Macaca fascicularis: one gene and its partners. The protein of the gene in region 5 purifies or fractionates together with the protein of the main gene of each other region. This does not show direct contact. Links are inferred from orthologs where the notes say so. Each region holds a gene or a part of one and is shown on either strand. Other genes may lie near its edges.

Region 1 (5,675 bases), on a different chromosome or scaffold from region 5:
TAGCCCGCCTTCAACCTTTGGGGAAAGATGTTCAGAGAACCCTTCCCAAAGCTGATACGTGGTGACTATTGTATTCACATTTCAAGGTCCCTCCTGCCATTGGCCAAACAAGAAACATCAAACTTTTCCATTTCTACATGAAATTGTAAATAACACCATCTTTTCCTAAACAAACAAAATAAGACCTTAAAGAATTTCTGGCAGAATATTACCTAACCCCAACTAACTCTTGCTAAACAGCCTTCCAGTCTGTGTATTGAATCATATAACTATCAAAGGATATGTAAAAGACTACTCTTCTGGGGGAAGATAGGGCATACGTCTGCCTGACTTGCATCACAAACCTCAGCTGCAGCCAAACCATGCAGATTTCTTCGACTCTGCAATCCCTGGGACTTGGCACCATGACTCAGATGTGAATGAAGTCAGGATGGGTTTATTTTGGTGGGGAGTCACCGCCTCCTGATTGATTTGGCAGACGTTAAGTATTGTATGTCTTACAGGGATTTAAGGTACTTAAAGCCAGAAGTTAAAATGGCCATCATTCTGGTGGTGGCCCTTCATATGTGACTTAAGGATCCCCAAATTGGAAGGTTAAGGGAGCTGTGGTCCCAGCCTAACAGTTCTGGCTTTACTTCCCATCCAGCAGCACAGTGGATATTGAAGAAAGTCAGTGAAATGTTAGATCCAGGAGACTGACTGCTAAAACTCCTAGGGTATCTAGAAGAGCTAAGTACGTGATAGCGGATTCGCTTTTCCAAACTGAGGAGGGTGAACTTCCCCCAACCCAATCAAGATCTGTTGGACCAAATGATGTCCAACTGCTTGAAACATCTCAGCTGCACAGAGACAGAAATGAACAAAACAGCTTTAGTCTAAGGTTGTGTGGGGCAGTGCAAGATGCTGCTTCTCCAATTCATCTGTCCACACAGCACGGTTCCCCATTGAATAAACAGGATACTATCCACTTATCAGAGAAGTTAGGGAGGACCTGCCTTTTAATGCTGCTTGGAGAGACACTGTCAATGAGCGGGGACGTTGGGGAATTTGGACCCCAATTTCTTGTTCTTCTACACTTGACCTTGCCTTCCAATTCACTATGAAATATATTTACTAGGTTTGCTTCTTCCATTCTACAAATCATGCGAGTTTTCTATACTTAACTGTTTTCCTAGAGGCAATGTAGGAGGGACTCAGCTGGACTTTGTTTCCAGGCAATGAGAGGCTCCCAGGTTGATCCCATTAAGGCAATGCCCTCATTTTGAATAGGGGATGACTGGGACCCCTCCTCCCCCACACACCTGAATTGGAAACTTGGCTAGGCTTTGTACAAGCCCTTGCCCTTAGGCAGTCCATAAAATGGGAACAATACTGAAGACAATCCTGTAAGCCAAGAGTGCAAAGGCTCCGGCGCGTAGTAGGTCCGTCTCCTCCTCCCGCCGAGGGGCGCCAGAGTTAAGGAACTTCTTACTGGGAAGGGGTCCCTCCTTTCAGCAGGAACCTGACCCGCAGAATGGATCGGAAACGCGAGCAACCCTCGGATCCCTTCCCCGTCGACGCTCGGTGAAAAATCGATCGACGACGGAGGGCGCGCAGTCCCTTCTCCGCACGCCCGCCAGCGCCAGGGGCGCGGCCGCCTCCCCGGCCTCCGCGCCCGCAGCTTGAGGCCTCAGGAGAAAGCGAGATTCCGGGGCTCGCCGGCGGCGGTGGCTTTCTGTGTCCTGGCGGATCCCCAGCCCCGCGTCCGCGTGCGCGGCGGCCTCGGGGGCGCGGCGGGAGCGGGCGTGGCGAGCGCGCCGGCCTTCCCGCTGCAACTGCCCCCGCGGCGGCCCGGCGGAGAGTGCGGATTGCGCGCGCTCGGGGCGGGGGAGCGGGCGCGCGCGAGGCCGCCGGGCGCGCGCCGCGCCGCCTAGTCCCCGCCGGGCCGCCCGCCCCGCCCCTGGCCTCCCGCGAGCTGCGCACCGCCGGCCGCTGCCCCAGCTGCCCGAGCCCGCGCCCTAGTCCGCGCGACCCAGCGGCGGGCTCCAGGCCGGCAGCATGAGCGGCGGCGGCGGCGACGTGGTGTGCACCGGCTGGCTGAGGAAATCGCCTCCCGAGAAGAAGTTGAGGCGCTATGTGAGTGCGGGCGCGGCCGCCGAGGGGCGGGCGGGCGGGCGGGGGGCGCTCCGGGGCCTGCGGAGGGGCGGGGGGCTCCCGGAGGGGCGGCAGGCTGGGGAGCTCGGGCCCGGAGCCGCGGGGGCCGGGGGCGAGGAGCGGCCAGGGTCGTGTGGGGTACCTGCACACCTGTCACAGGTGCGCCGCCGAGGGGCGGGGCGGGGCGGGCGGCAGGTTGAGGCTGCGGCTCCTGCTCCGCCAGGCGGGCGCGGCGTCGGCGCCTCCCCAGGCGGTCTGCCCGTAAACTAAATATAGTGTCGAAGTTTGTATTGATGGCTTCTGGAGACCGAGAGAGTTGACTCTCGGGGCTGGGGCTCCGCGGCGGCCCCTAGCAGCTTCAGCTCACAGGTCCGGGAGAGGGCGGGAAAGGGGGGCGTAGGCTGTGGGCCCGCGCGGACGGCCCCACAAAGGGCGAGCGCCTCACGCCCTCTCCTTCCCTTTCTCCGCCCGCCCCTCCCGGCCGCCGGCCTCACTCCGTCCGCGGCTGCATCACCGGCAGCGTCAGCGGCATGTGCAGCCCTTGTATTAAGTGACTCATTTGTTTGTCCCCCTTCTCTCCCTTTATTCCGTTCGTCTCTCACAGGCGCCTCCCCCGACCCCGGTGTGACACTGCAGTTTGGTCCCCGTGGCTGGCCCGGGTTTGGGACCTGGCAGCTCCCGGTTGTCTGGGGTCGGGAGAGATCGAGGCTCTCGGCGCCCAGGTGTTGCCAACCCACAGTGTTTACTGACATCGCTGGAACAGCCTCTTCCCTCTAGGTGGGGAACTGGCAGTTTGGGGGAGGTGGAACGGCGTGGCGCTGAGCCGTGGAGTTCTGGCTTTTTTTTTTTTTTTTTTTTAACCCCTCTCCCCAGAGGATGCCTTGCCTGGTGAGGTCAAAGTACAAGATGGTGCCAGTTACTGAGATTTTGCCGAAATGGTCCTGGGGTAGTCGCGGGAGTTTGGAAGTGGGGGTAAGGTGGCTGGAAGGTTTCAAGGTCTCTCATCTGCTCCCTCTCCTTTTCCCATGAAATGCCCTTGTTTAACGGGCTGTGGTGCCGGACTCCGGGATCACTCCCACAGCCTGGAAGGGAGCCGTTGCCTCCAGCTGCAGTGCATCAAGGGAGCTCGGAATAGACCCTGCCCTCTGTCAGCTGCACCAGTGGCTGTCCATGGGGGGAGAAGCAGAAGCCTACCAGAATTTCCTGTCTTGGCTCCCCAGATCAGAATCAAGGGACTTCTGGCCTCTGGACTGAGGAAGTGACATTCTGTTTTTCAAAGGAAGTGTTGTTGTTGCGGAGTGCAAGTGTGTGTGTCAATGAAATCAGGCTCTTACGTAGATGTTTGCTAGGAAAAAAAAAATTCTGATTTAGCACATGACTTTTGAAAGTGGACGTGGATTTATAGGAGGGATGAAGCAGTGAATTGTTCATCTCAGTTTGAAAGCTCATTTTTAGGAGTGTCTATGTAGCCAAAGTATAATTATTAAGAAATACACTTTTTTCCTCTTCAGGCTTGTATCAGTTCGTTAGGAAGGTTGAATACTTTAATTAGGATTAAGGAGCAGTGATTTACTATTAACAATTTAATAAATATTTTTAAAACTTTGTCCCAAAGAGCTTCCAAAAATTATCTTTACAAATAGATTTCCATACAAGCTAGTGGAATAGAGTGTCCACAGTAAAAAAAAAGAAAAAGTGACCCTTAGTTTTCAAATTTGAACACTACACTAAACCTTGAAACTTGTTTTTGAAACAATTTGCAAACAGTATGACATTGTATCTCCATTTGACTTACCGCTCCTTGAACGCTCACCCAGACTCTCTTTATGACCCATTTCTTGGGTGTTTTTGTTCCCAAACAACTTTAGTTCAAAAAAACCAGGTTTGGAGGCATTTGGGTCAAGCACCTTTTTCACTCATTTGAACGAATCTAGAATCGTGTGATGGCCTTAGCCTCTCTTTCCCATCTTCGATGCACCTTCAGCCCATCAGGTGTCAGACCTTAACAGCTTTCAGTAACAGCTTTTCTTAGGCCAGGATGTGATGTGTTCACTTACATGACTGGAAGCCTCTGCCCTTTCGAAAGTTCAGTTTCCCCCCAGTTGAAACTGCTGATCTGTGTAACCTTAAGCTTCCGGGGAACAGTATTCTTTTACGTCTACTGTTTTTGGGGGTATTAAGAATTTTTGCATCCTGTTGTAAGTTAAAACTCTGCTAGTTTGCTTATTTCAGTAGAGGCCCGAGTTCATCAGAACCAAACTTGGAAAGTATTTCCCAGCCTAATGGCTGTATATTTACCCCAAAGTAGCTGCTGCTTCTGGTATACATCATAGTCATGTTATATTGTACTGAGAAATCCTCTTTATAAGAATGCCACAAGCATATGAGATAAGGGGAAAAAGTAGTTGATGAACTAGGTTATAACTATTTAAAACGATTTTTTTAAAAACTGATTTAATTCGAAGGCTGGGCGCAGTGGTTTATGCCTGTAATCCCAGCACTTTGGGAGGCTGAGGCCGGCAGATCACTGGAGGTCAGAAATTCGAGACCAGCCTGGCCAAAACCCCGTCTCTACCATAAATACAAAAATTAGCTGGGCGTTGTGGAGGGCACCTGTAGTCCCAGTTACTCAGGAGGCTGAGACATGAGAATTGGGTGAGTCTGGGAGGCTGAGGTTGCAGCAAGCCGAGATTGCACCACTGCACTCCAGCCTGGGTGAGAGAATGAGACTCCATTTCAAAGAAAAACAAAAAACTTATTTAATTCAGAAAGACAAGGAGGTGCAGAGGGGGGAAACATCTTAGAAGAAGCAAAGGCAAATGTTTGAGCAATTAGTTTTCAGATATTTTTTCATCAGCCTTTTCTAGTTAATTATAAGTATAAAAGATCTATCTGCTATTTGCTGAGTGCCCTGGAGAAATTACAAAAAATGACTTTGGAAAATGCTGACTATTGCCCCTGGGGCATCCTGATACGGTTGCAGTGGGAGGTTGGCAGGAGTAACAACCCTCCCATCGTGCCTCAGTGTATTTGTGTGTGTATGCGTGTGCATGCAAATGCATATACACGTACATGTATATAAATCTTAAACAGAATTTTCTTGAGGAAAAACATTTTATTAATATGACCTACACTGCATTGTAGTTTTCAATTTCACTGGGTTAAAAGATTTAGGGAATAAAATTGGCAGACTGCCCCCTAGTGGCTAACTTGAAAGTTGTGCACAAATTTTAATGAACAACTGCATTAAGGTAACAGTAATTGTTTATTTCCATTGTATTTGTTAAATATACTTATTAAATCTATGTCCTAGGTACTTCAGGTGCTTGGAATAAAAATTCAGTAAATAAAAAGAAAGAACATTAATCCAGCCTTTCAGTCTTAGCAATGGCTTTGCCTTCTCCTTCACAAAGAAAATTGAAATGATGAGGGAGTAGTTATCTGTACGTACCATGAATGGCCACACTTTCAAATTTACCTATATCTGCCTAGTTCCTTTCCTTCTTGTTTCTTTCTTTTTTTTTTTGACAGAGGTTCGCTCT
Region 2 (5,636 bases), on a different chromosome or scaffold from region 5:
TCATTTAAATCATTACCAAAATACTCATTTTTTTCCTTTACTCTCCTAGCTTAGAGTACAGCCAATTGTTGTCTAGTAGGGGGATGCTGAGTCATTTTTTCATGCATTTTCTTACCTCTTGGCTGCAATATCACCATTCATTGTTCACAAGCCACCCAGCTTGTTTACTTTTTATAAATTACATGTAATCAAGTCCTCTTTCAGGTCTGGCTACTGTAATTGGCAGCAGCCACAGAGCAGGGCTGACAAGTCTGCATTTATGCTGATGTCTCATATTCAGCCCACTCTCCAAGCTTTCTTTCCTCTTCCATGTGTATTTTAGAAGGAAGGCAAATAGAAGGAATGCAAAGAGAGAACTGTTAAGGTGTTCTCTCTTTTCAGATGATCCTAAGATACTTATAGCTTGGCAGAGTCCTTGTGTCATTTGGTTGGGAAAAAACAAGGGTGTAGAGCAGTCAGTGGTCCTTAAACTTCAGTGTGCATAACAATCACTGGGTAACTTCTAAAGTTAAGATTCTTGGGCTCTACCCTCCTTCTAATATTTTTATTAAGTCTGGGTAGAGGTCCAGAAAACTGCAGTTTCTTACTTGAACCCCTGCTGATTCTGATGTAGATGGTCCTTAGATTACTCTTGGAGAAATCCTGAGTTGGGCATAGAGGGAAAAAGAGACAAGAAAGAAAATCCAATAGAAGTAAATACTTATAAAGAGTGGAATAGGAAAGCAAGAACCAAAACTGAGGGAGTAACTTTAATCTCTCTTCAGTGAGATGAAGGGAGTGAGTATGCTGTGCTGCTTAAAAAGATAAGTGTTTAGTTTTTTCTGGCAGTGAACGAGATCAAACTGTCCTCCAAAGAGGACATATTTAGAGGATGACAAAAGTGAAAAGGAATTTTTAGAAAGGTTAGAATATGAGAAAGTACCTAACTGTCGCCGAAAAACTCAAAAGACATGATTAAATCAAAGAAAGTATTTTGTAGGTGTCTGTTTAAAGAAGAATGTGCATTCCTGAATCAAGAGTTTATGAATGGCTTAAAGATGAAGAGGAGAGATGAAAGAGGATTAGCTGTTCACCAGAAGTTCTGGTTATTCTAGTTATTGGATCTGAAACCATCTTATTAAAGTATAGTCCGGATTTCCTGGAATAGTTCACATTTCTAATATTCTTTCCCATTATTTTTATAATACATGTCTGATTTGCCCCAATTTTTGGTTAGTTGAGATGTGGTTGATGTGTAAAAGAACACCAAAAGTGGGTCTACTTGACTGAGGAAGCTCTCTTGCTTTCCAGCTCTGTGTTTGTATATGTGTGTGTTAGATTTATATTTTCTAATCTATCTCTTTTAACCTAAACTTTGATTTTAAAGCCCACGTTAGAGAAAGAGCAAGAGAGACAGACTGACTCCACTTTAGAAAATTGGTCAAGAAGTGGACCAGGTGGGAATGGTTACTTAATCCTAGCAGAGGAATAAAGTACTTGACTTCCAGCTACCTATTGAATGTACTCTGCTTCTAGACAGCTATTCCTTTTTTTTTTTTTTTTTTTTTTGGACATATTATTTCCATAGAGGAACTTTATAGTTCGATTCAGTAACCTTGGAGAGAGGTCCTGACCGAAAAACAAAAAAAGAAAAGAATTTTGGAAGATAGTCGGCCGGGCGCGGTGGCTCAAGCCTGTAATCCCAGCACTTTGGGAGGCCGAGACGGGCGGATCACGAGGTCAGAAGATCGAGACCATCCTGGCTAACACGGTGAAACCCCGTCTCTACTAAAAAATACAAAAAACTAGCCGGGCGAGGTGGCGGTCGCCTGTAGTCCCAGCTACTCGGGAGGCTGAGGCAGGAGAATGGCGTGAACCCGGGAGGCGGAGCTTGCAGTGAGCTGAGATCCGGCCACTGCACTCCAGCCTGGGCGACAGAGCAAGACTCCGTCTCAAAAAAAAAAAAAGAATTTTGGAAGATAATTATAAAGTGACGAGTATCGCCAGCATTTGTTAAATCATTCTTTCTTTATTCTAATTATCTCTGTATTAAAGTGTTCACTTTTCCATATACATGCTCTAGAAACCCAGATTGTACTTTAGAACTTTCACCGCTATAGTGTATTAACTAGCTTGCTAATCCTTTTTACCATCTTTGATGTTCTTTCCCTTCCATCTGCTCACAAGATTTTATAGAATCTTCATACCTGCATTGTAAGTGTTGAGGATCATTATTGTTATTGTATGAAGTGTCTACCACACCCTCTCATTGCACTAAGAGTCCAAGTAAGTGTAGTTAGTAGATCACTTTGCTCTGAAGTGAATAGAAGGGTTGTTGCTGTATGCTGGTGGAGACCCAAAACCAGCTTCTTCCATTTACTCTGGCAATCAAGAAAGGCGAGACTCCTGTGTCTTCTACCCTGCACTTTGAAGACTGGGCTCAGGACTTGCTGTCTTCATTTCAGGTTACCTTATTTTCTTGCTTTCTTTTGTTTTTAAAATCATATACTTGGTATATCTTGGTGTATCTCCTTTTTATGAGCCTCTTAGTATTCCTAACTTTTCAGATTTTTTTTCTTCCTTGTGATTTATTCTAACTCATATACTGTTTAACATAGTGATGGGTGTTTCCAATGAATTTTTATATTTTCTGAAAACAAGTGTAAATGCTCTTAGAAGCATAACATTAAATAGCTATCAAAATGCAACATTAGGAAATCACATAAATTTTCAGTGGAAGTATTTTAACTTACAGTTTTCCATTTTGAGTTTAACATATAGAGAAAAAAAGAGTTATAAAATATTAGGTAAGCAGATTTATTGCCCTTTGCCTAAGTTACTAAAGGGAAGTGTTTCTTTTAAAAAAACTTGGTGTAGAAGATTTATCATTAAACTATAATATATATATTTGACTTTGTAATATTTTTATGTTTACTTATATTTGAATAGAAAATGTGCATAGATTTACTTAAAATGTATAGTATATTGGTATTCATTATTTAAGTTACAATTTTTAATACCCAGAGATTTCCAAATCTTTAATATCTACCTATTTATGCCAGTGATTCTTAAATAACTAAAAGATACTCTTTATAGTAGCTTTTATGCACACTAAATTTTTTAGCAAATGTGCTTTGCTCCAAGTTGGAGAATTAGTTATATGTTGAGAAGCCCATGCTTTTACTAAGTGAAATTGAAACATAGATATTGAAATATTTTTCATCCTTCAACTAAGTTCTAGCCTTGAAAACATCTGTTTGTTTTCAAACAGGATCTGTTGTTTTTCTAAACCGTATACTTCCAAAGCAGAATAGATTTTCTTCGAGATTTTTATTGAAATACCTCAAGGAGAACAACATGACTCAAAAGAGGATAAAGGCTAATTTTTCTTAATGAAAGGAGAAAAACATTTTTTACTCTTTCTATTCTTAATTTAGGCCTAGGAAATACCCTGAGTCCAAGGCCAGCTGGTTTCAGCATGCAGAGATGAGACTAGAACACGCTTCCTGATGCCCAGGCCAGAGCTGTTCTCATTACCATTTCTATATCCACCTCCATCTTTAGTGGGTTGCTGTGATTTCCAGCATTCAAACCATTGCACATTTCCAGAGCCTTTCAGCTGTCTCATGGAGCAGTTCATCCCAATGACTGCTTTTTTAATTATTATTTTCAATTGTAATTAAAACAAAACAGCAACACATAACATAAACTTGACCATCTTAATCATTTTTAAGTGTATGGCACAGTAGGTTAAGTATTCAGGTTGTTGTGCCAGCCCAATATCTCCTGCTTCTCCATTCAATCTCAGTAGCATTGGAAACAACAGAAGGGGCTTTATGCAAACACCTTTCAGGAAGGCGTGTGCCTCACCTGTGTTTGCTCCTTCACAGTAATAGGAAGTTAATTATGTGGGATTTGCTCACCTGATCCACACAGATGATCCTACTGTCGGATCATTTGGAAATCCCACACCCCTTTCTTCCCCCGAGGAAAAAATTCTTTCCTGATCCTAGATTCAGTGCTCTGTTTAATCTTGAGCATATGAGAATGAGTCACCATGGGTAAGTGTGTAATCTCGTTTATACCTTTCTTCCAACCCCCTTTTAATTTTTTAAATGTATGTTACTGGATCCTGCTTTTCTACATAAGGACTGGTGATTTGGAAACTAATTTTGGGACTGCGAGGTGTTGCGATTTTTTTTGGAACCAGTGCTTTCTGTTCTGCTGAACATGAAGCTGCATGGCCTAACTTCTGAAATTCAGGCTATGTATGGAATGTCTGTGTGGATGAAGAAACAAGCCAATGCCTTTTTTTGGGTCGGGGCCGGGGGGTGGGGGAGAGGCTGGGAGAACGATGAATGAAAATGTTAAGATAGTCTGATCTTGTGGGGGAAACATTCAGATTTTGAAAATATGTGCAAACCAAAGACGAGCAGTTAATTACTTTGTGATTTTATTTTACCCACAAGAGAAATACTTGATATTGTGCTGAAGATGATGTTGAATAGGTATATTAACTCAGATAAAATAACAGTTTTACTTTTGATTCCAGTTATCCCTATCTATACAATGCATAAATGCTATTTCCATTTCTTCATTCGTGGAATGAAAAACATTTCACTGGAAAATTATTTTTAAAAAAGTACTTTAAAGTACATTGGAATCTTTAGGATACTTTGAACATGGTGCTTAAAGAATGTAAATGGTTAATACTTGCTTTCATGCCCATAGAGGAATATGGGAGTGGGACTGACTTGAATATCAAAATGAAACTCTGTATCCATTTTTAAATACAGTATGCATTTGAGCAAAGCCCTTCTCCCTAAATGCTTATTTTAAATTGGCAGTTGCTCAGCCAACAGTCAGTAATCTCAGTTAGCAAGTGTTTGGCACGCCTGTTTTTTAACCTGCACAGGTTCAGTTCACACAAAGAAAGAGAGGGTTGGGTTACGTGATGCAAACACCACGTTAGCCTCATTAACATATTTTGAATAACTGTATTTGAATATTTGCCAGCTAAGCTAGGCCATCTGAAGGCCTTCCGAACGAATTGGGAGTTTCTGAAGCAGAGTGTAGAGATTTGAGCCTGTAAACTTTCTACTTTTTCTTCTTGAGAGGAAAGATTTTAGAAGATTCTATTTAGAATACTTTCCATACCCTCTCAAAAGAACACCCTTTTTTTTTTTTTTTTAAATTCTGCAGAAATTTTGGACTTTCTGCCACCCTTTTATATATCTTTAAAAGAGGTACCATAAGACGTGTCTCAGAAATACCTTTAGGTAATCTATCCTGAGTGGGTTTGAGTTTCTACTCAGCCTGTTTTTTGTCTTTGCAGAATTTAGTCCTGAAGCTCTTTCTGTGAGTCTATCTGGAGAACCTCTTCTGCAAACTTACTGTGTGAATGCCAGTGGTTGGAACAGGACAGATGGGATAAACTAGGGTGCCTGTAAACTCCTACCTAGTGGATGCTCAGATCATAAAGATGCCAGCCTGGGTCAACTCTATATAGTATAGAAATTGTTTTTACAAGCCTCCAGTTTTGTGGCCTGACATCTGTATCTGTTCAGAAATACTTTTTTTGACTTTGACACCTGTCTGGCTGAAACCACAACCTTGGGCTCTAAAACTGGGCAAGGGAGGAGTCCATTGGAACCAGG
Region 3 (4,904 bases), on a different chromosome or scaffold from region 5:
GGCCTGTTTCTTTATTTGTTTAATAAAGACGGAGTCTCTGTCACCCAGGCTGGAGTGCAGTGGTGCAATCATAGCTCACTGCAACCTTTAACTCCTGGGCTCAAGGAGTCCTCCCGCATCAGTCTCCTTAGTAGCTGGGATTACAGGCACACACCACCATGCCCAGCTAATTTTTGTATTTTTTGTAGGGACGAGTTCTTGCTCTGTTGCCCATGCTGGTTTCAAACTCTTTTTTTATTTTTTATTTTATTTTATTTTATTTTTTTTTGAGACAGAGTTACATTCTTGTTACCCAGGCTGGAGTGCAGTGGCGCAATCTTGGCTCACTGCAACCTCCGCCTCCCAGGTTCAAGTGATTCCCCCGCCTCAGCCTCCCAAGTAGCTGGGATTACAGGCGTGCACCACCATGCCCAGCTACTTTTTGTATTTTTAGTAGAGACAGGGTTTCACCATGTTGGCCAGGTTGAGCTCAAACTCCTGACCTCAGGTGATCCTCCTACCTCGGCCTCCCAAAGTGCTGGGATTACAGGTGTGAGCCGCCACACCCAGCCTAGCCGTTTTCAGACTCTTGAGCTCAATCTTTCTGCCTCACCCTCCTGTAGAACTGGGATTACAGGTATGAGCCATCGCACCCAGCCCACCACACCTGTTAATAAAAGGAGATCTCCGCCCCTGCCCCCTGGTTTGGGTTTTGGTTTTTTTGGGGTTTTGTTTTTTTTTTTTCTTTTAACTGCTCATTTGTTTAATGTTACTTTAGCAGCCATGGCAGCCACGTCACCCTCAGGCTTCTCATCAGCTGTACTGGCTTCCGAGGGCCCCAGCAGGTGCTTGTGGAGCCAGAGGCCAGAGGCTGAGGAGGGAGTTTGTTCTGGGAAAGACAGACACCCCAGACTGGCTCTTTGGTTTGCTCTGGGGTTTGGAAGCAGCAAGGGCTAGAGTCATGTGTCAGGCGCTAGGACTCACAGTGAGCAGCTGCCAAACCAGCCCCTCCCTGTAGCAGTAACAGGCTTCCTAACCCGTCCTCCCAGGGGGCTGATCCTGCAGGACCTGACCTTCGTTCACCTGGGAAACCCAGACTACATCGATGGGAAAGTGAACTTCTCCAAGCGGTGGCAGCAGTTCAACATCCTCGACAGCATGCGGTGCTTCCAGCAAGCGTGAGTGCCGCTGCCCCGGGGGGCTGGGCAGAGCTGAGCCCTGGGCCACACCCAAGGAGAGACAGCCCGGGATGCCGAGGGGAGGGGGAGCCACAGAGGACCCAGGGACCCGCCCCCTGCTGAGCAGGGATATAGTCCAGGCCCTTCAGTCTCTGCCAGGATGACTTGAGAGCATGCCCACCAGGCTCCATGCCAGGCCTGGCCCTGGGCCTGGACCCCGTGACGGCACAGCTCGTCCTCCCATTTTACACACCAGAAGCTGGTGCCCACCTTGCTGTGAGAAGCGCCTGACAAACCCTGGCCTGCCTGACTCGGAGGCACCAGAGCTCCCCCAGGGCGGGCCCTGACATGCATTGTTGGGGGCAGTGGGGTCACCTGGGGCCCCTTCCCTTTGAGCAGCCCAGCCTCAGGGCCCTGTTTGTGCTCCATATGCTGGTACTGTCTTTGAGTGCTGGTATCCCCCCTTTGTCACGTTGGTTAATGGCAGCCCCTGCAGCATCCGTCTCCTGCGAGGTTGTGGGGATGGTCCCCACGGCACCGTCCAGGAGGGTGGCGCCATCGGGCCATCCAGCCCACACAGGTGCTCACTGACTGCTCCCCATCCCCTGCACCAGGCACTATGACATCCGGAGGAACGACGACATTATAAACTTCTTCAATGACTTCAGTGACCACCTGGCTGAGGAGGCCCTATGGGAACTCTCTCTGAAAATTAAACCCAGGAACATAACAAGGAGAAAAACAGACCGGGAAGAGAAGACCTAGGAGCAGCCGCCGGGATCGAGGAGAATGCTCGAGGGGCGCGGAGGGCAGCTCCCAGACCGGAGAGGACCTTGGACCTGTTAGGCGGGTGGCAGGAGTCCCGGCCTCGGAGCCACGAGGCTGGCCAGGCCTCAGCGGGGCCGGGCGGGAGCTGGAGTCTGCCTGCCGCTTCCTGCCTCCCTCCTCTGTGGGAGCAGACCCGTGGGCCTCTGCAGCCAGCAGGCAGGTCTTGTTGCCAATTTGCAAACCGGTGGTTTTCTGGTTTGGTTTTGTTTTCTGCTTTTACTTCCATCTCTCCCCTCTTGCCCTTCCACCCACTCCCCTCCAGGGAGAGAGCAGCAGAGACCTCATCAGCAGACCAAGGAAGTGGCGGGTGCTGCCCCTCCCTGAGCTCCAGGGTCCCTGAATCTTCTGAAATGGAAAATGAGTGGAGGCCTTCTGGGGTGGGTTGTCCTCCAGGGGCCCTGGAATGGGGGCGAGCAGCTGGGTGGGCAGAACGCAGAGTAGACTGGGAGGAGGTCCTTTCACTTCTCGCTTCCGCTTCTGTTGCATGGAGGATGGTGTGAGCTTTGCAGCAGGCCCGGAAAGGTACGCAGGTGACCCCTTAGCAGCTGGTGCTCTGCACCGTGGTACTGGCGCCATCAGGGCCTCCCTTGCCTGCTGAGAGCAGCAGCAGTGTCTGTCATCCTGTCGCCCCTTACCCCCCACCCCAGGCCACTGGGCCCCTCCCACACCACCCGGGGAGCTGAGCAGAGGAGGCTGGAGTAAGGGAGGACTTGATCATCCAAGAAGTACTTTTTATTGCTGGGAGTCTTCTGAACCTCACCAAACTGAGGCCAGAGCTGAGCTCCTGGGGGAGTTAGTTCAGAGGGGAGAGGCCAGCACCTCCCTCCTCCATCGCTCGCTGTGTGCCTTAAACTCCATCTCCTGTCCCTCCCCATCCCCTGGCTTTCCCTCCCTCCTCGCCCCATCCTGGGCCGGCCAGCAGGGCTCCTCCTCTGGCTCTTCAGACCTTTCAGCCAGTGCTGTCAGTGCCCCTGGGAGGGAAGGGCATCCCTGAGGCACCCGAATGGGCCCTCGGGGTGCAAGGAGGCAGAGGCCTGGCCGCGGAGGAGCCTCCTAAGGTAGCAGCTGCAGCAGGTGCGCCCTCTCCCTACTCTCGCCACACTAGAGCGGCTTGCAGAGCAGATGCTCTTTCCCTCCTCCTCGTCAAAACCGTTCTCGCTGCTGAGCTTGACAATCTGGGCAAGGCTTGTGGGGCGCTTGGCAAACAGAACCTGCCCTGTGCCGCCCGGCTCTGTGGCCTCCAGCATGAGCCTGCAGGCAGGGCACTGCGGGAACCCAGTCGTGCTGCCCCAGCCCATGCCTCCAGGTCTGCTGTGCATGAATGAGTGCTCATTTGTCCCAGGTTTAGGACAGCAGGGTCAAGTGAACAGCAGGGTCTAACTATGCTTAGCCCAGTTCAAACAGAACAAAGGCAAAACGTAGAAAGCAACATCTGTTGATCATTTGGGTTTTTTTTTTAAAACAACCATGTCACTTTGAGTCCTTCGTGGGTTTTTGAACAGCATTTATCAAGAAGAAAATGTGGGTTTTTTCCCCTCGCCCATGTTTTATTTGTCCTGTAGATAGAGGGAGGAAAGCCGTGCAGTGGCAGGCGGGACCCCCTCTGGCGGCGGGATCCCCTCTGGCGGTGGTCCTGCAGGGCCAGCCGGGACCTGTCACTTTATTATTTAAGGAGTGTGTGTGTAGAGTCGCTGGCTTATTAACAGTATTGTGTGTGGGTTGGGTTTTTAGTTTGTTCCTTCTTTTTGAAGTCCCTTCATTTCAATCCTTGCCTCTCTCTCCCCTTCCCTTGCCCAGCTCTGTTGAATGCTGCTGTGCGCGTGTGAGGGCCTCTCTGCACACAGGGCCCTTGGGTTTGTGCGAACTGAAATTCTCCCTGTATTTGTGAGACTCGTAGGAGTCCCCCTCTGGAGCACAGGCAATGCCAGTGCCATGCTGCAGCCTCAGAAACCAGGCCTCTCCCCCCAGCAGCAGGTGGAACCGTGTCTGTGGTCGGGTGCTGTCCACAGCTCTGTCTGCCTTGTTCTTGGGCTTGAGCCAGGTGGAGGTGGGGTCTCTTCACCTTCCGTGAATTCAGAACAGACCCTGTGCCTGGCCCCAGTGTGCCCAAGCAACTCCCCAGGCCCTTGTTGGGAGCCCTTGGTGGTCTGAGCAGCGGGGCCCAGGCAGCACATGAGCAGTGCCCGGGGCTCCCTGCGTGAGGACGGCAAGGTGCGATGTATGTCTCATTTATTGATGGCAGGCGTGCCCCTGCGCCCCCTGCTCCTGGCCCTGGTTATTGCTGAGCTCTGTGCTCAGTGCTGCGGCCTGGCCATGGCTCGTCTGTTCCTTCTGGGGGGCCGGGCAGGTTGTGGGAATCAGTCTTCACAAACAGACAGGAGCCAGGCAGAGGACTCGTTCCTTGCAGAGGTCAGGCCTCACCTGCAGGTGTCGGGGTTGGCAAGGAGGGGCAGGCACACACCATGTCTGACCTAAACCCAATTCTGGGGAGCGTCTCCCGCTCCAGCCCCACGACCTCCACAGGGTTACATTGTAATATATATGCCCCAGCTAACCTGTCTGATGGTGGCATCTTCCTGCAGACATTTCAAACATGTAACTTTTATATGAAAAAAAATAAACACAGACGAAAGCTGCCGAATGTCATGTCCACGCCCAGCTGCGTGTGTGCAGTTACAGTGACAGCCCAGCCTGCTCCGGGCTGGCCTCGCCACCTCTTTTCTGAGACCCCTGTAGCAGGCAGGGCTTCTGGGAGGCTGAGGGTCATTCAGCTGCATTCCCAGGCCCACTCGCTGCCGTTGGGGTAGTTGTGGCTGAGTGGAATGGATGTCACCAGAACTTTCCCTCCTAAGCCTTGTGCCCTAGAAGCAGTCAACTGGGCAAAGAATTGCTCGTTCCCTGGAGGTCGGTTCATGCAAA
Region 4 (4,393 bases), on a different chromosome or scaffold from region 5:
GATAAATAAATGAAATAAAATTCCTGTGAATTTTTTCTTAAAAATTTAACATCCTACAGGATCTGCTTCTGTATCATCTATAAGTTTAACCAAAGGCACTGATGAAGTGCCTGTCCCTCCTCCTGTTCCTCCACGAAGACGACCAGAATCTGCCCCAGCAGAATCTTCACCATCTAAGGTAAAGTAAGAAATCTTGTTATGTAGAAATTGGAATCATTACAGTTACATTATAATAAACGGCTTATGTCTAGTTTAGTTCTCACTGGAATAAGTTAACATTTCAGAGTATATAGGCTTAATAGTTTAAATAAGGATTACATATAGATTTAGCATGCAGTAATGTTTCTTTTCTTCTGAAGGTAGTTTTTTGGTATGCATTCAAGACCCTTGTAAACCTAAGGCTATGGTTATTTTCAGAAAAAAAAAATGTTTTAATCTATAAAGTAAGAGAAATTTGGTTTCAAGCAGTTCTTTAAAAACATAGTCCTGAAGCTTTGTATGAAGACACATTATAAGTCAAACTGTATCTTGACATATGCTAAAATTTACTTATCTGAGCCCTTAATAGTAAATCTGACATACTTTTAAATGGAGTTTTCATGAAAATTCTGGGTTTGGAAGAGACCCTAAAGGCTCAAAATAGCTATTTCTACCTACTTTTTTTGGCGGGGGGGCCAGCTGTTAACTTAACGCATTAGTTCTTAAGCTGTCCAGAGTGCAGAGCACCAGGGTAAGTCAAGACACTCTTTGTACAACTTCATGAATGTTAATATAGTTAATTTAAAATTATAAAATAGGCAATTTATGCTAAATTAGAAATGATCTTTGATTGATAAGCTAAGTCAGTAAGCAGTAGCAAACAACAAAATTTTGAGGAAAAAAATTTAAGTAAAAACTTTGGCAAACTTTTTTTTTCTATGAATTGGCAGAACCTTCCATTTAAAACACATGCCAGCCTTGGCAACAGAGCAAGACCTTGACTACAAAAAATGAAAAAATTAGCCAGCCATGGTGGTCCTTGCTGCTTGGGATGCTGAGGTCGGGGGATCACTTGAGCCCAGGAAGTTGAGGCTACAGTGAGCCATGATTGCACCACTGTACTCCAGTCTGGGCAATAGAGCAAGGCCTTGTCTCAAAAAAAATTTTTTTAATTACAAAGGAAACATACGGCAAAACTCCCTGTTCCACACTTAGCATCCTGCCAATAGCATGTTTGAAAACCCCAACTTAATTCTTATAGTCATGATACTTCATAAATTTATTAATAAATGTGTATTTTATTCTTCTTTTCATTTGTTAGATTATGTCTAAGCATTTGGACAGCCCCCCAGCCATTCCTCCTAGGCAACCCACATCAAAAGCCTATTCACCACGATATTCAATATCAGACCGGACCTCTATCTCAGACCCTCCTGAAAGCCCTCCCTTATTACCACCACGAGAACCTGTGAGGACACCTGATGTTTTCTCAAGCTCACCACTACATCTCCAACCTCCCCCTTTGGGCAAAAAAAGTGACCATGGCAATGCCTTCTTCCCAAACAGCCCATCCCCCTTTACACCACCTCCTCCTCAAACACCTTCTCCTCACGGCACAAGAAGGCATCTGCCATCACCACCATTGACACAAGAAGTGGACCTTCATTCCATTGCTGGGCCGCCTGTTCCTCCACGACAAAGCACTTCTCAACATATCCCTAAACTCCCTCCAAAAACTTACAAAAGGGAGCACACACACCCATCCATGCACAGAGATGGACCACCACTGTTGGAGAATGCCCATTCTTCTTGAGTTCCTCTGTACTGGGATGTATATTTTCCTGGCCCCAAATCCATTGCTGGCAATGGATGCACTGAACGTGCCAGCACTGAGGAGTTAAAATGAGAACTCCAAACACTAACGACTCTTCTTCAAGATGCAGTATAAGACAATGAATTTTAACCTAGATGTAATTATAACATGGAAATGGTATTCCAGTTTAGAATATGGAAAGACTGACCTAGAGGAATTGGACAACTGATTGCACCTGAAAATCATAAAGGGACTTTTTCTGGCCAATAGGCAGGAGTCCTCTTTTTGGGAAGTGTTTGTGAAGTGATCTTTTGTGAAGTGATCATTAAAGGGATGGAAAACACAGTCTAGTGTCCAGCAGGCCCACATGATGACAGGTTTTGTAATTCAAATTATGCACTTTTAAAAAAAAATGTAAACAGGGATCTTAATATCTTCCTTTGTTTTCCTTTGCTTTACTCTTCTACTTCAGAATATTTTCTTAAAAATCACTCAAAGGACTGTGAGGAAAGGCTGTGGTACCTGACCTTGTTGAAATCAAGGCCCGGCACTGTACTACAGTCCTGTTTACAGATTATTACGGTGAACTGAATGGGTACCGAGGCTTCACCAAAGAGGTACTTTTTTGTTGTTGTTGTTGTTTTAGGAATAATTATACCAATTTTAAGAGCATTCCCCACCTGTCCCCACACACCCAAACAAAATGTGGTGGTGTTGCCTTCAAAAAAGAAGTTTTGTGTCATTAACATGACAGAAGAACTTTTTAAAAAAACATAACTGTCAAGTATTCTATTTGCATTTAGGAGACTGTTAATCTATGCTAGATTGTCATTTTCCCTCCTTCTCCCACAAAAGTTTACTGGTAGTCCATGTCATGGCTCGTAGCTATCCCTCTAACCATACCATGGAAATGCAGACACCCAATGTGAAAAGGAGCACTTGCTGGGCATCACTGACACCGCTCATGTTTTACTCATAGTTGAGTAATCAGCATATCTAGAATTATCTTGCATTGCCTAAATCATATGTATATAGTGAATGTTATATAATATACCTGGCAGGTCTGTTTTAATTTAATTGAATAAAGATACAAATACTTTGTTTGGCTGGCATATATTAAATTATTATATGAAGAAAATGGTTGATTCTTATTTCTTTTAGTTGAAAAACACACAAAAACACTAAACATAAAAGCACGTTTTGTGGTACGCCTTGGTTTCTAGTTCTGGATATATGTATTAATCTTAAAGAATGATCTAAAGTCACAGCTTGGCATATAGGAAGATACTTGGTTAGAATAGGATGGGTATCTTTTAAGCAGAACTTTGTAAGTTTTAAGTTCCTAAGCAACATGTGTACAGTGTGTTAAGGTTTCTATTGAACATTCTACCTTGCTTGAGGTTTTCTGCTTTATCAAAACTATTCATGACAGAACATCTACCTGCATCATTACTATCATAATATGGATTATTCATAAAGCGTATGTACTGTTATTCTGAGTCTAACAAATACTGTGACTGAAATGCATGCACCTTGTTGAAGAGAAAACATTTTATTAATCTCCACTATAATGTCTGTGAAATGTGCAGTATTCCATCCTTAGAGAGTTATCTGGTTCATCAGCATCTGCATGTATCCTCTGAATAATGAAGCAACATTTCAGCAATTCTGTTAACCACGCTATTAAGAGACATTTGTAGAAGTGCTGCAACATGGTGGGAACCTAGTACTTTAATAATTTCCTATGATATTTATTAGAGCGCAAAATGTACATCACGATAGTACAGTATGTAGTCCTTTAAGACCAGAAGGTATGTTAACTGCACCGTCATTAAGCAGTCTATCCTATTTTCTTATTTATTTGTTAGAGTTGAATCCTTTTTGTTTAATATCTGTACCATTCCTATGATGGTAGCCATTTTTCTCTTTATAAAATATTTCTTCTTTGGAAAGTGTCCTAAAAATTTAATTTCAAATCTCCTCTTGGATGCAAACTGTCCCTAAGACCATCCACTCAACAGTATTTATGTAAGCCAACTTACTAGTGCCACTACAACTAATCATGATACATAGTCCAGAATCTCCCAGGACTTTTTACTGGGCCAGCCTCATTGTCCCTAGGATTTCTCTTTTTATGTCTCATGGATTACTTCTCTTTTTAATTGCCCCAGGCCCATTCCAAATGAGAACCTGGTAAAAGTCACATTGGATCCCATTCAGTATGTCTTCGGCTAATGTGTTAGCCTTCAATAAGGTGATAACCCCTTTTCAACCTATCTAGTCTATAAAGAGGAAAAACTCAAATTTGAAGTTCTAATCTTATTTCTCCCAAAGGGAACTATTCTTCTACCCCATGGTTCTAGGAGACCACTTCACTGTGCAACAGTTTTATATGTATTGTGGATGGAGGATATTTTATTCTGAACTGTGACATTTGGGTAAAAATATTTTCTGCAGTGGTAACTGATTAGAAAAATTCCAATTGAATGCCCTTAGGTGGAGGTGAGAAAACGGTATCCTTGCCTTCCTCTCAATATGAAACATTAACTAGTTGACAAATTTATCCTTGTAGTAATGAAAATATATTTAATCAGGGACCAG
Region 5 (4,395 bases):
GAGCCACTGCGCCTGGCTACACCAAGTGCAGTGACATGATCTTGGTTCACTGCAACCTCCACCTCCCAGGTTCAAGTGATTCTCCTGCCTCAGCCTTCTGAGTAGTTGGGATTACAGACATCTACCACCACACCTGGCTGATTTTTGTATTTTTTAGTAGAGATGTGGTTTTGCCATGTTGGCCATGCTGCTCTCGAACTTCTGACCTCAGGTGATCCACCTGCCTCGGCCTCCCAAAGTGTTGGGATTACAGATGTGAGCCATTGCGCCCAGCCTTTTTCTTTTTCTTTTCTTGAGACAAGGTCTCGCTCTGTCACCCAGGCTAGAGTGCAGTGGCATGATCACAGCTTACTGCAACCCTGCAACCTCTGCCTCCTGCGCTTAAGCGATCTTCCCACCTCATCCTCCCAAGTAGCTGGGACTGCAGGTGCATGCCACCATGCCTGGCTCATTTTTGTATTTTAGAGACAGGGTTTCACTGTGTTGCCCAGGCTGGTCTTGAACTCCTGGGCTTAAGTGATCCACCCGCCTCAGCCTCCCAAAGTGCTGGGATTACAGGTGTAAGCCACTGCGCCCAGCCACTTCGTGTTTTTTACACTATGTTATTATCTAACAAAGATTCATCGTGTATCCCACTTAAAAGACAAGTTTTTTGAGGATACGAACTGACCTGCCCATTTTCCATGGAATAGATGTTCAGTAAATTTTATTTAATTGTTTAGGTAGGATCATGTAGAAAGTATCCTGTTAAAGACCGCCAGACTCACAAGTTAATTGGAAGGTATGAGGTGTGAGTGTTCTTGGTAGCTTTCAGTCCCTAGCCTCCTCATCTCCATCTTCCCGTTGTCTTCCTTGGCTGCTCAGTATCCATCACAGTAATTTATTAGACCCCGTTTTCAGCCTGTTCCTCGTTGGTTTTGAGAGGACCCTTGTTGGTGACAAGGTTGGAAATCCTCTGATACATACAGTGCTGTGCTTCTCAGTGCTAATTCCAGCTCTTCCCTTCGTGCATCCAAAGGGTATGATCATTAGAGGGGGCGTGGGGCTGGGTTCTACTCAGGAATCTCTACTCAAGTAACAATCATTTGATTACTGTAAGACCCTTTCAAAGTTGGAAGGAAACTGAGACTTGGAGAACTTAAGCAGTTTGCTACAGTCATGTAGTTTCTAAAAGTGGCAGAACCAGGACATTTGTTTGGTGTCCTGCATGTTCCAAAGTTCATGGCATGGACCACTGGACTGTGCCACCTTGTGCCTGTTTTTATTTTGAGATGTAGTCTTGCTGTGTTGCACAGGCTGGTCTCAAACTCCTGGGCTCAAGCAATCCTCTCACCTCAGCCTGCCAAGTACCTAGAACTACAGGCACGCACCACTATGCCTGGTTCTGTATGTGTTTAAGCAGACGAAAGCTTATTTATTATTGTCTTAGATCTTAGGCGTGTCTTATATTCAAGTAGTGTTTTTATGGACCTGAGTACACAAAATAGAATCTTAGATTAGTGCTCTGCTGAACAGAGAGCACAATGTCTACAATGGCTACCACCTGAAGGTCTTTTTTAAAAATACACCTTTTTGTGTGATTTGACTTTAACTGTTCTCAGAATCATGTGTTCATTTCTATCCTGTTGGGGTTAGTAGCCAAAATAAAGGGTTGGTTTGGGGAGGAGCTGCTTTGTGCTCAAAAGCTGTTTGTGCGTGTGCGTGTTTTTGTTTTTTTGAGCAGGGTCTCACTCAGTTGCCCAGTCTGGAGTGCCATAGAACGATCACGGCTCACTGCAGCCTCAGCCTCATGGGCTCAAGCCATCCTCTCACTTCAGCCTCCTGAGTAGCTGGGACTAGAGTCATGTACCACTACACCCGGCTAATTTTTCTATTTTTTAGAAGAGATGAGGTTTCACCATGTTGCCCAGGCTGGTCTCGAACTCGTGACCTCAGGTAATCCCAGGAGTTCAAGGTACAATGAGCTGTGATCGTGCAACCGCATTCCAGCCTGGGTGACAGACCCTGTCTATAAAAAAATTAATGTGCATGGTGGTGCACGCCTGTAGTCACAGCTATTCAAGAGGTGGTGGTGGAAGGATCACTTGAGCCCAGGTGTTAGAGGTTACATTGAGTAGTGATCTCACCACTACACTCCAGCATGGCTAACAGAGTGAGACTCTGTGTCTAAATAATAATGTATGGGCCCTTTGGATAAGGTAGTGTTTGTGATTTAATGTAAACTGTCTTTTTCTTGTTGCAGAGAAATGCTAACTTTGTCTTCTTCATCCGTACAGGTTGGTGACATTGTGAAAGTCACAAGGATGAATATAAATGGCCAGTGGGAAGGCGAGGTGAATGGGCGCAAAGGGCTTTTTCCCTTTACGCATGTCAAAATCTTTGACCCTCAAAACCCAGATGAAAATGAGTGATTGCCGTTGCCCCGTTTCCTGCTGCTTTGTTGTTCTGCCTGTCCTAGTCTCCTTTGAAGTGGGAAAGCATTCTCTCTCATAGGCAAGTCACACTGCATTGCCGAAGTCCAGCTTTCTGCAGACTGGCAGTCGCACACACATTTGGAATGCACACAGCGACTGCCTCCTGACGTTTGTATCATAGTTGTATTGTCAAAGAGTAGCCGATTTTAGAGTTCTTTTGGATCATAAACTGGAAATACTGATGGAAGCACACAAGTGGAGAGAAGTTGACGAGGAAAGGGTCTTCCTTCTCATCGCTGCCTGTTTGTACATGGGACTGATTCTGTCGTGTTCACCAGAGAAAGCCTGAGGCCATGGCGAGATACTGCATGTTTGCTGTTCCACAGAGCAGTGGCTCAGCTGCCATCTTGCTTTTCTTTGGACAACAGGAACTGAACCTTAAGGAAGAGAGAATTCTGTTCTAAAACTCCAAAATTCGGCTTTTTTTTTTTCTTTTGGTTTGGTTTGGTTTTGGAAAACTAATTAATTAGACTTGTGTGGGGTTTTTTTGTTTTGTTTTGTTTTGTTTTTTGTTTTTTTGAGACGGAGTCTCGCTCCATCACCCAGGCTGGGGTGCAGTGGCGCAATCTTGCCTCCCTGCAGTTTTCGCCTCCCGGGTTCAAGCAATTCTCCTGCCTCAGCCTCCCGAGTAGCTGGGATTACAGGCGCGCACACCACGCCCAACTAATTTTTGTATTTTTAGTAGAGACGGGGTTTCATCATGTTGGCCAGGCTGGTGTCGAACTCCTGACTTCAGGTGATCCACCCGCCTCAGCCCCTCAACGTGCTGGTATTATAGCCATGAGCCGCTGTGCCTGGCCTAGACTTGTGTGTTCTAAACAGGTTAAGTAGCAGGTTGGGTTTTTATGATAGTGCAAGGAATGACACATGCCTCTGAGCTTCTAAACTGAAGCTGCTGTAACTAAAGGAATCTGAAAAGAACAACCCTGAAGCAGAGGCCTTTATTGTCTTGGTTGCCAGTAGTAGTTTGTTTTGCCATGTAGCAGAAAACACACAAAATAATGCAGCTGTGGTGTGCCATGCCATGTGCACAGCCCCTTGGATTACTTTGTTTTAAAAAGCATCAGAGTTGGGGGGTACTTTAGGGAAACCTTTGCTTACCTTGTTTGCCAGTGATAAGAGCAGTGGGTTGGAGGGCAGTTGGCCAGTTTTCTGTTCAGCTTTTCAGTGAATGTACCCCTTTAAGGTTAAGACTTAAATTCCCCTAAAAAGTGGGGTTGTTCATAGAATCATTGGACTCATTAATGAATCGTTAAATTCCACTCACTGAAGCCCAGACCTCCGTACCCAGGCCCAGTCTCACCAGGCTGCCAGAGAAAGTTGGTGCTGCTGATACTGGTCTCACAGTCTAAGTAAGTGTCTGATGCTCCCAAGCAGTGGAAATGCAGGCTCTGGAAATTGGTTAATGTATTTGATGTCTTAGTGTTTTAGTGACTAGGGAGACCATTAACCAGTTTATCATTAACCACTTATCAGTGTATTGATGTTAAAGCATTTCCCTGTTAGCTAAAAGAGGCCTGTTCATACAAGCCAGCTGGTATATATGTGTGGTTCATCCGTCATCTGCTGCTCATGGCAGACTAGAATTCTGGGAACCCTGTGTAATTCAGTCTGTTCTCCCTTCTGGGCCCTGGTAAAGACAAGCCTCAGCTTATAGTGAACACAGCAGACCTAGAAATGTAGCAACAGCCTAATGAGTAACTGTCATTTACTGAGTATCTGCTGTGACTGTGGCCCTGTCTGGAGGTTCCTAGGTTTTGAGATTTAGAACAATGCCTTCTGGAGACAGAACCAGCAAAACAACCATTTTTCAATTTTTCTTTAAATCAGTATTCTATTAGGCAGATAACTGCCATATTCATGAATCTTGAGAGTGTTCCCTGTGACAGAATTAATGGTCAGTTGGGAAAACTATCACCAT
Region 6 (4,904 bases), on a different chromosome or scaffold from region 5:
GCGCGCACCTGTAATCTCAACTACTCAGGAGACTGAAGCAGGAAAATCACTTGAACCAGGGAGGCAGAGGTTGCAGTGAGCTGAGATCGTGCCACTGCACTCTAGCCTGGGCAGCAAGAGCAAAATTCCATCTCAAAAAAAAAAAAAAAGTTTACTGACCTGGTGTCTACTTGTCTCCTTCCTGTTGTGTCTTCTTTCTTCAGTTTCTTTCTATCTTTTTATGAGGGAGAGTTGAGGGATGAGTACTTGGTTAGCAGGCAAGGAGATTCAATGACTCAGGCTTGGAAATTTATATCTTTGTGCCTTCTCTCCCACAGGTGATAACCCCCGTAAGGACAGGCCATGGCTACGTATACGAGTACCCATCCCGATACCAAAAGGACGTCTACGATATCCCTCCTTCCCATACCACTCAAGGGGTGCGTACCAGAACAAGGTCACAAGAGGAGAAGAGCTTCTAAGGGTAGTGTTCCTTCAGGGCTGTAGAGAAAATGGAGTTCACAAATTATGTATTAATATACGTCATATAAAGCTTTATTTAGGTTGTCTATCCAGTAGCCACTTTAGCCAATGCTATTTAAATTATGTTTTCTGGATTTGCTTTATCAGGAAATCCTAGTATTTCACCCAAGAGAGCTTATGTTCTACAATTTTACTTCAGAAAGTAGAATTTTTTTTTTTAAGACAAAATCTTACTTTGTTGCTCAGGCTGGAGTGCAGTGGCTTGATCTCAGCTCACTGCAACCTCTGTCACCCAGCCTCAAGCAACTCTCCTGCCTCTGCCTCAGCCTCCCGAGTAGCTGGGACTACAGGTGCACACACCACCATAGCTGACTAATTTTTGTATTTTTGTAGAGACAGGGTTTCACCATGTTGGCCAGGCTGGTTTTGAACTCCTGACCGCAAGTGTTCTGCCCACCTCAGCCTTCCAAAGTGCTGGGATTACAGGCGTGAGCCACCGCGCCCAGCCGGAAAGTAGAAAATTTAAACTACACTTTAAAGTACAGGCAGTGTAGATATTTCACATAAGATCATCTTTTTTTTTTTTCTTGTTTTGTTTTGTTTTGAGACAGAATCTCGTTCTGTCACTGGGCTGGAGTACAGTGGCACGATCTTGGCTCACTGCATCCTCCACCTCCCGGGTTCAAGCGATTCTCGTGTCTCAGCCTCCCGAGTAGGTGGGACTATAGGTGCGCGTGCCACCACACCCAGCTAATTTTTGTATTTTTAGTAGAGATGGGGTTTTACCATGTTGGCCAGGATGGTCTCGATCTCTTGACCTCGTGATCTGCCCCCCTCAGCCTCCCAAAGTGCTGGGATTACAGGTGTGAGCCACCGCGCCTGGCCAAAATCATTTTTATATTCAGTCTAAGTTAAAAACCACAAAATGTATAAAGAAAAAAAAAAAGGTAATCAATTTGTTATAACATGGAGCACTGCTAAAGATCAAGCTTGTACACAACCTGGTAAATAAATCCGTAATTAAGCACTTAGGAGCATAAAAAATGACAAGTATAAGACATTTCCATTGTGGGTAACTCATGGGTTTCTCTCCAGGTATACGACATCCCTCCCTCATCAGTGAAAGGCCCCGTGTTTTCAGTTCCAGTGGGAGAGATAAAACCTCAAGGGGTGTATGACATCCCGCCTACAAAAGGGGTAAGTGAGTGACTACAAAGCAGCAAAAAGGAGTGTGAGTGTGTGTGCGTCTGTGTGTCGAGGGGCATGGGGTCGGGAGGAGGGTGGGTAAGTAGTTTATTGGAATAAAACAAGAAAGGCAAACCCAAAAGGGGAAAATGTAGTCTTGGTGAGAGTAAAGGAATGAAGCAAAAAAGGAAAGGCTCATTAAAGATAGCTCTAGGGATTTCATATTGAGGAGCCGCAGCTAAAAAACATTGGGAGGCCAATAAGGAGAACCCTTTGGCAGGGAAGATAATTAGTTTGGCAAGTACTAATATATATTTGTAGAGGGTTTGTTTTGTTTTGTTACGTTTTGTTTGAGACAGGGTGTCGCTCTGTCACCCAGGCTGGAGTGCAGTGGTGCAATCACAGCTCATTGCAACCTTGACTTCCCAGGCTCAAGCAATCCTCCCACCTCAGTCTCCCAAGTAGCTGCCTCTTACCTCAGCGTCCCAAGTAGCTGTGACCTCAGGTGCATGCCACCATGCCTGGCTAATTTTATTTTTTTGTGGAGACAGCATCTCCCTATGCTGCCCAGGCTGTTTTTGGAACACATGGGCTTAAGTGATCCTATTACCTTGGCCTCCCAAAGTGCTGGGACTACAGGCGTGAGCCACCACGCCTGGCCTGTAGAGGGTTTGACAGTTTTCTCAGTCTGTATGTTTGGGTGAACTCGTTTGACTCACTCTGTTACCCTCTGGGGTATGCCTGCACAGAGCACGGTAATCCCTACTTTACAGACAAGGGGACTGTGTTTCAGACACCTATGCAGCTCATTCAGCATCACACAGCTGGTGTAATAACCGAATAGACCAGGGGAGACCTCCGGTCTTACTCTGCTGCTCGGCACAGATCAGCAGAGAAAGGATACCCAGGAAGTGGTCAGAAATGTAGGACTGGAACACAGGGGTGAGCAATTTAACCAGCAGGGTTGCACATGCAAGTCTACACCAAGAATATGTGGGTGGAGACACTTGTCAAAGGACAAGGGAAGTGGCAGCAGAATAGCGGGGAACCTTGGAAGTGCCTAACATGGGGGGCGGGGGAAGGCGACCGAAAAAGTGCCAGCAAATAGGACTGAGCACATGGGACCGCATGCTCCCACGAGCCAACACAATAAATAGCATTTCGCTTTCTACTCGCTTTTCAGGTATATGCCATTCCACCCTCTGCTTGCCGGGATGAAGCAGGGCTTAGGGAAAAGGACTATGACTTCCCCCCTCCCATGAGACAAGTTGGAAGGGCAGACCTCAGACCTGAGGGGGTTTATGACATTCCCCCAACCAGCGCCAAGCCAGCAGGAAAGGACCTTCATGTAAAATACAACTGTGACATTCCAGGAGCTGCAGAACCCGTAGCTCGACGGCACCAGAGCCTGTCCCCGAATCACCCACCCCCGCAACTGGGACAGTCAGTGGGCTCTCACAACGACGCATATGATGTCCCCCGAGGCGTTCAGTTTCTTGAGCCACCAGCAGAAACCAGTGAGAAAGCAAACCCCCAAGAAAGGGATGGTGTTTATGATGTCCCTCTGCATAACCCGCCGGACGCTAAAGGCTCTCGGGACTTGGTGGATGGGATCAACCGATTGTCTTTCTCCAGTACAGGCAGCACCCGGAGTAACATGTCCACGTCGTCCACTTCCTCCAAGGAGTCCTCACTGTCAGCCTCCCCAGCTCAGGACAAAAGGCTCTTACTGGATCCAGACACAGCTATCGAGAGACTTCAGCGGCTTCAGCAGGCCCTGGAGATGGGTGTCTCCAGCCTAATGGCACTGGTCACCACCGACTGGCGGTGTTACGGATATATGGAAAGACACATCAATGAGATACGCACGGCGGTGGACAAGGTGGAGCTGTTCCTGAAGGAGTACCTCCACTTTGTTAAGGGAGCTGTTGCAAATGCTGCCTGCCTCCCGGAACTCGTCCTCCACAACAAGATGAAGCGGGAGCTGCAGCGAGTCGAAGATTCCCACCAGATTCTGAGTCAAACCAGCCACGACTTAAATGAGTGCAGCTGGTCCCTGAATATCTTGGCCATCAACAAGCCCCAGAACAAGTGTGACGATCTGGACCGGTTTGTGATGGTGGCAAAGACGGTGCCCGATGACGCCAAGCAGCTCACCACAACCATCAACACCAACGCAGAGGCCCTCTTCAGACCCGGCCCTGGCAGCTTGCATCTGAAGAACGGGCCGGAGAGCATCATGAACTCAACGGAGTACCCACACAGTGGCTCCCAGGGGCAGCTGCTGCATCCTGGTGACCACAAGGCCCAGGCCCACAACAAGGCACTGCCCCCAGGCCTGAGCAAGGAGCAGGCCCCTGACTGTAGCAGCAGTGATGGTTCTGAGAGGAGCTGGATGGATGACTACGATTATGTCCACCTACAGGTAAAACAGCCGAACTCATAAAACACCTACGCTCACTCACATGCAGGGAGCCTGAGACAGATGCCTGTAAGGATGTCGGGTTGGACTACCAAAGGAGAGCACACGATTAATGTTAATCCACATGGTTCACAAATTGGAGGGAGTGTTGTAGAGTAGGAAGAACGCTGGACTGAGAGTCCTGAGTACTCACTCAGCTCTAGCCCTTTCTCTGACATTTACTGTGTGACCAACTTATTCAACCTCCTTGGGCCTTAATTTCCTCATTTGCAAAATGAATGGTGTAAGGGGCTGGATTAGATCCCATTGATACCTCAGGTAAGAGGAGACTCACCAAGTAGGATAATAGGCCCTCTAATGATATTACCAACTGAGCCTCACCTGGTGCTGAGGGAGGGAGTGGAGAGACAGGATGGAGGCATTGAACATTCACCTTACTCGTTGTCTGACTCTGCACAGTGGGAAATACTGCCTTGGAGCAGAAATCTATAGATGATTTGAGGGAACTGGAAGTGAGAGGTGGACCACATTTAGACCTGCGTTTGGGGGTTTACGGGTTCACATATAATCTATGAGAAAAGAACTCAGAGAAGTAGTACATTTATATAGGAGATTTTAAGGGAATCATGAGTAGCTCTCTGAAAACTGTAAGGTGCCCCAGAAAGCTGGCACCCTATATGGCAATGGGCTTTATTTTTCTGCCACCCCTGTCTAGGGTTCACAGTGCCTCACTGAGCATTTGAGATGTTGCCAAGGCAGTGGAAAATAAAGAGTATTTACTCATCTGTCAATGAAATTGTTAGCATAAGTGAATCACAGTGATGACATAATAATG

Evidence for each region.
Region 1: the proteins of CRKL (region 5) and GAB2 purify together in Homo sapiens (affinity purification with western blotting; 3 studies listed by BioGRID). This does not show direct contact. The link is inferred for Macaca fascicularis from reciprocal best matches to the Homo sapiens genes CRKL and GAB2.
Region 2: the proteins of CRKL (region 5) and GAB1 purify together in Homo sapiens (affinity purification with western blotting; 3 studies listed by BioGRID and IntAct, with this or other methods). This does not show direct contact. The link is inferred for Macaca fascicularis from reciprocal best matches to the Homo sapiens genes CRKL and GAB1.
Region 3: the proteins of CRKL (region 5) and RAPGEF1 purify together in Homo sapiens (affinity purification with western blotting; 16 studies listed by BioGRID and IntAct, with this or other methods). This does not show direct contact. The link is inferred for Macaca fascicularis from reciprocal best matches to the Homo sapiens genes CRKL and RAPGEF1.
Region 4: the proteins of CRKL (region 5) and SOS1 purify together in Homo sapiens (affinity purification with mass spectrometry; 3 studies listed by BioGRID and IntAct, with this or other methods). This does not show direct contact. The link is inferred for Macaca fascicularis from reciprocal best matches to the Homo sapiens genes CRKL and SOS1.
Region 6: the proteins of CRKL (region 5) and NEDD9 purify together in Homo sapiens (affinity purification with western blotting; 4 studies listed by BioGRID). This does not show direct contact. The link is inferred for Macaca fascicularis from reciprocal best matches to the Homo sapiens genes CRKL and NEDD9.

The regions. Positions count from the first base shown.
Region 1 is NC_088388.1:77,316,382-77,322,056, reverse strand, and holds the start of GAB2 (GRB2-associated-binding protein 2), read left to right. Parts: upstream 1-1,935; 5' UTR 1,936-2,037; coding exon 2,038-2,115; intron 2,116-5,675. UniProt on the Homo sapiens protein: Adapter protein which acts downstream of several membrane receptors including cytokine, antigen, hormone, cell matrix and growth factor receptors to regulate multiple signaling pathways.
Region 2 is NC_088379.1:148,465,893-148,471,528, forward strand, and holds the start of GAB1 (GRB2-associated-binding protein 1), read left to right. Parts: upstream 1-2,285; 5' UTR 2,286-2,321; coding exon 2,322-2,444; intron 2,445-5,636. UniProt on the Homo sapiens protein: Adapter protein that plays a role in intracellular signaling cascades triggered by activated receptor-type kinases. Plays a role in FGFR1 signaling. Probably involved in signaling by the epidermal growth factor receptor (EGFR) and the insulin receptor (INSR).
Region 3 is NC_088389.1:12,236,587-12,241,490, forward strand, and holds the end of RAPGEF1 (rap guanine nucleotide exchange factor 1), read left to right. Parts: intron 1-1,028; coding exon 1,029-1,157; intron 1,158-1,771; coding exon 1,772-1,922; 3' UTR 1,923-4,623; downstream 4,624-4,904. UniProt on the Homo sapiens protein: Guanine nucleotide-releasing protein that binds to SH3 domain of CRK and GRB2/ASH. Transduces signals from CRK to activate RAS. Involved in cell branching and adhesion mediated by BCAR1-CRK-RAPGEF1 signaling and activation of RAP1.
Region 4 is NC_088387.1:83,182,856-83,187,248, forward strand, and holds part of SOS1 (son of sevenless homolog 1), read left to right. Parts: intron 1-59; coding exon 60-178; intron 179-1,300; coding exon 1,301-1,792; 3' UTR 1,793-4,393.
Region 5 is NC_088384.1:31,930,112-31,934,506, forward strand, and holds part of CRKL (crk-like protein), read left to right. Parts: intron 1-2,276; coding exon 2,277-2,411; 3' UTR 2,412-4,395. UniProt on the Homo sapiens protein: May mediate the transduction of intracellular signals.
Region 6 is NC_088378.1:161,757,461-161,762,364, forward strand, and holds part of NEDD9 (enhancer of filamentation 1), read left to right. Parts: intron 1-317; coding exon 318-419; intron 420-1,557; coding exon 1,558-1,659; intron 1,660-2,830; coding exon 2,831-4,072; intron 4,073-4,904. UniProt on the Homo sapiens protein: Scaffolding protein which plays a central coordinating role for tyrosine-kinase-based signaling related to cell adhesion. As a focal adhesion protein, plays a role in embryonic fibroblast migration.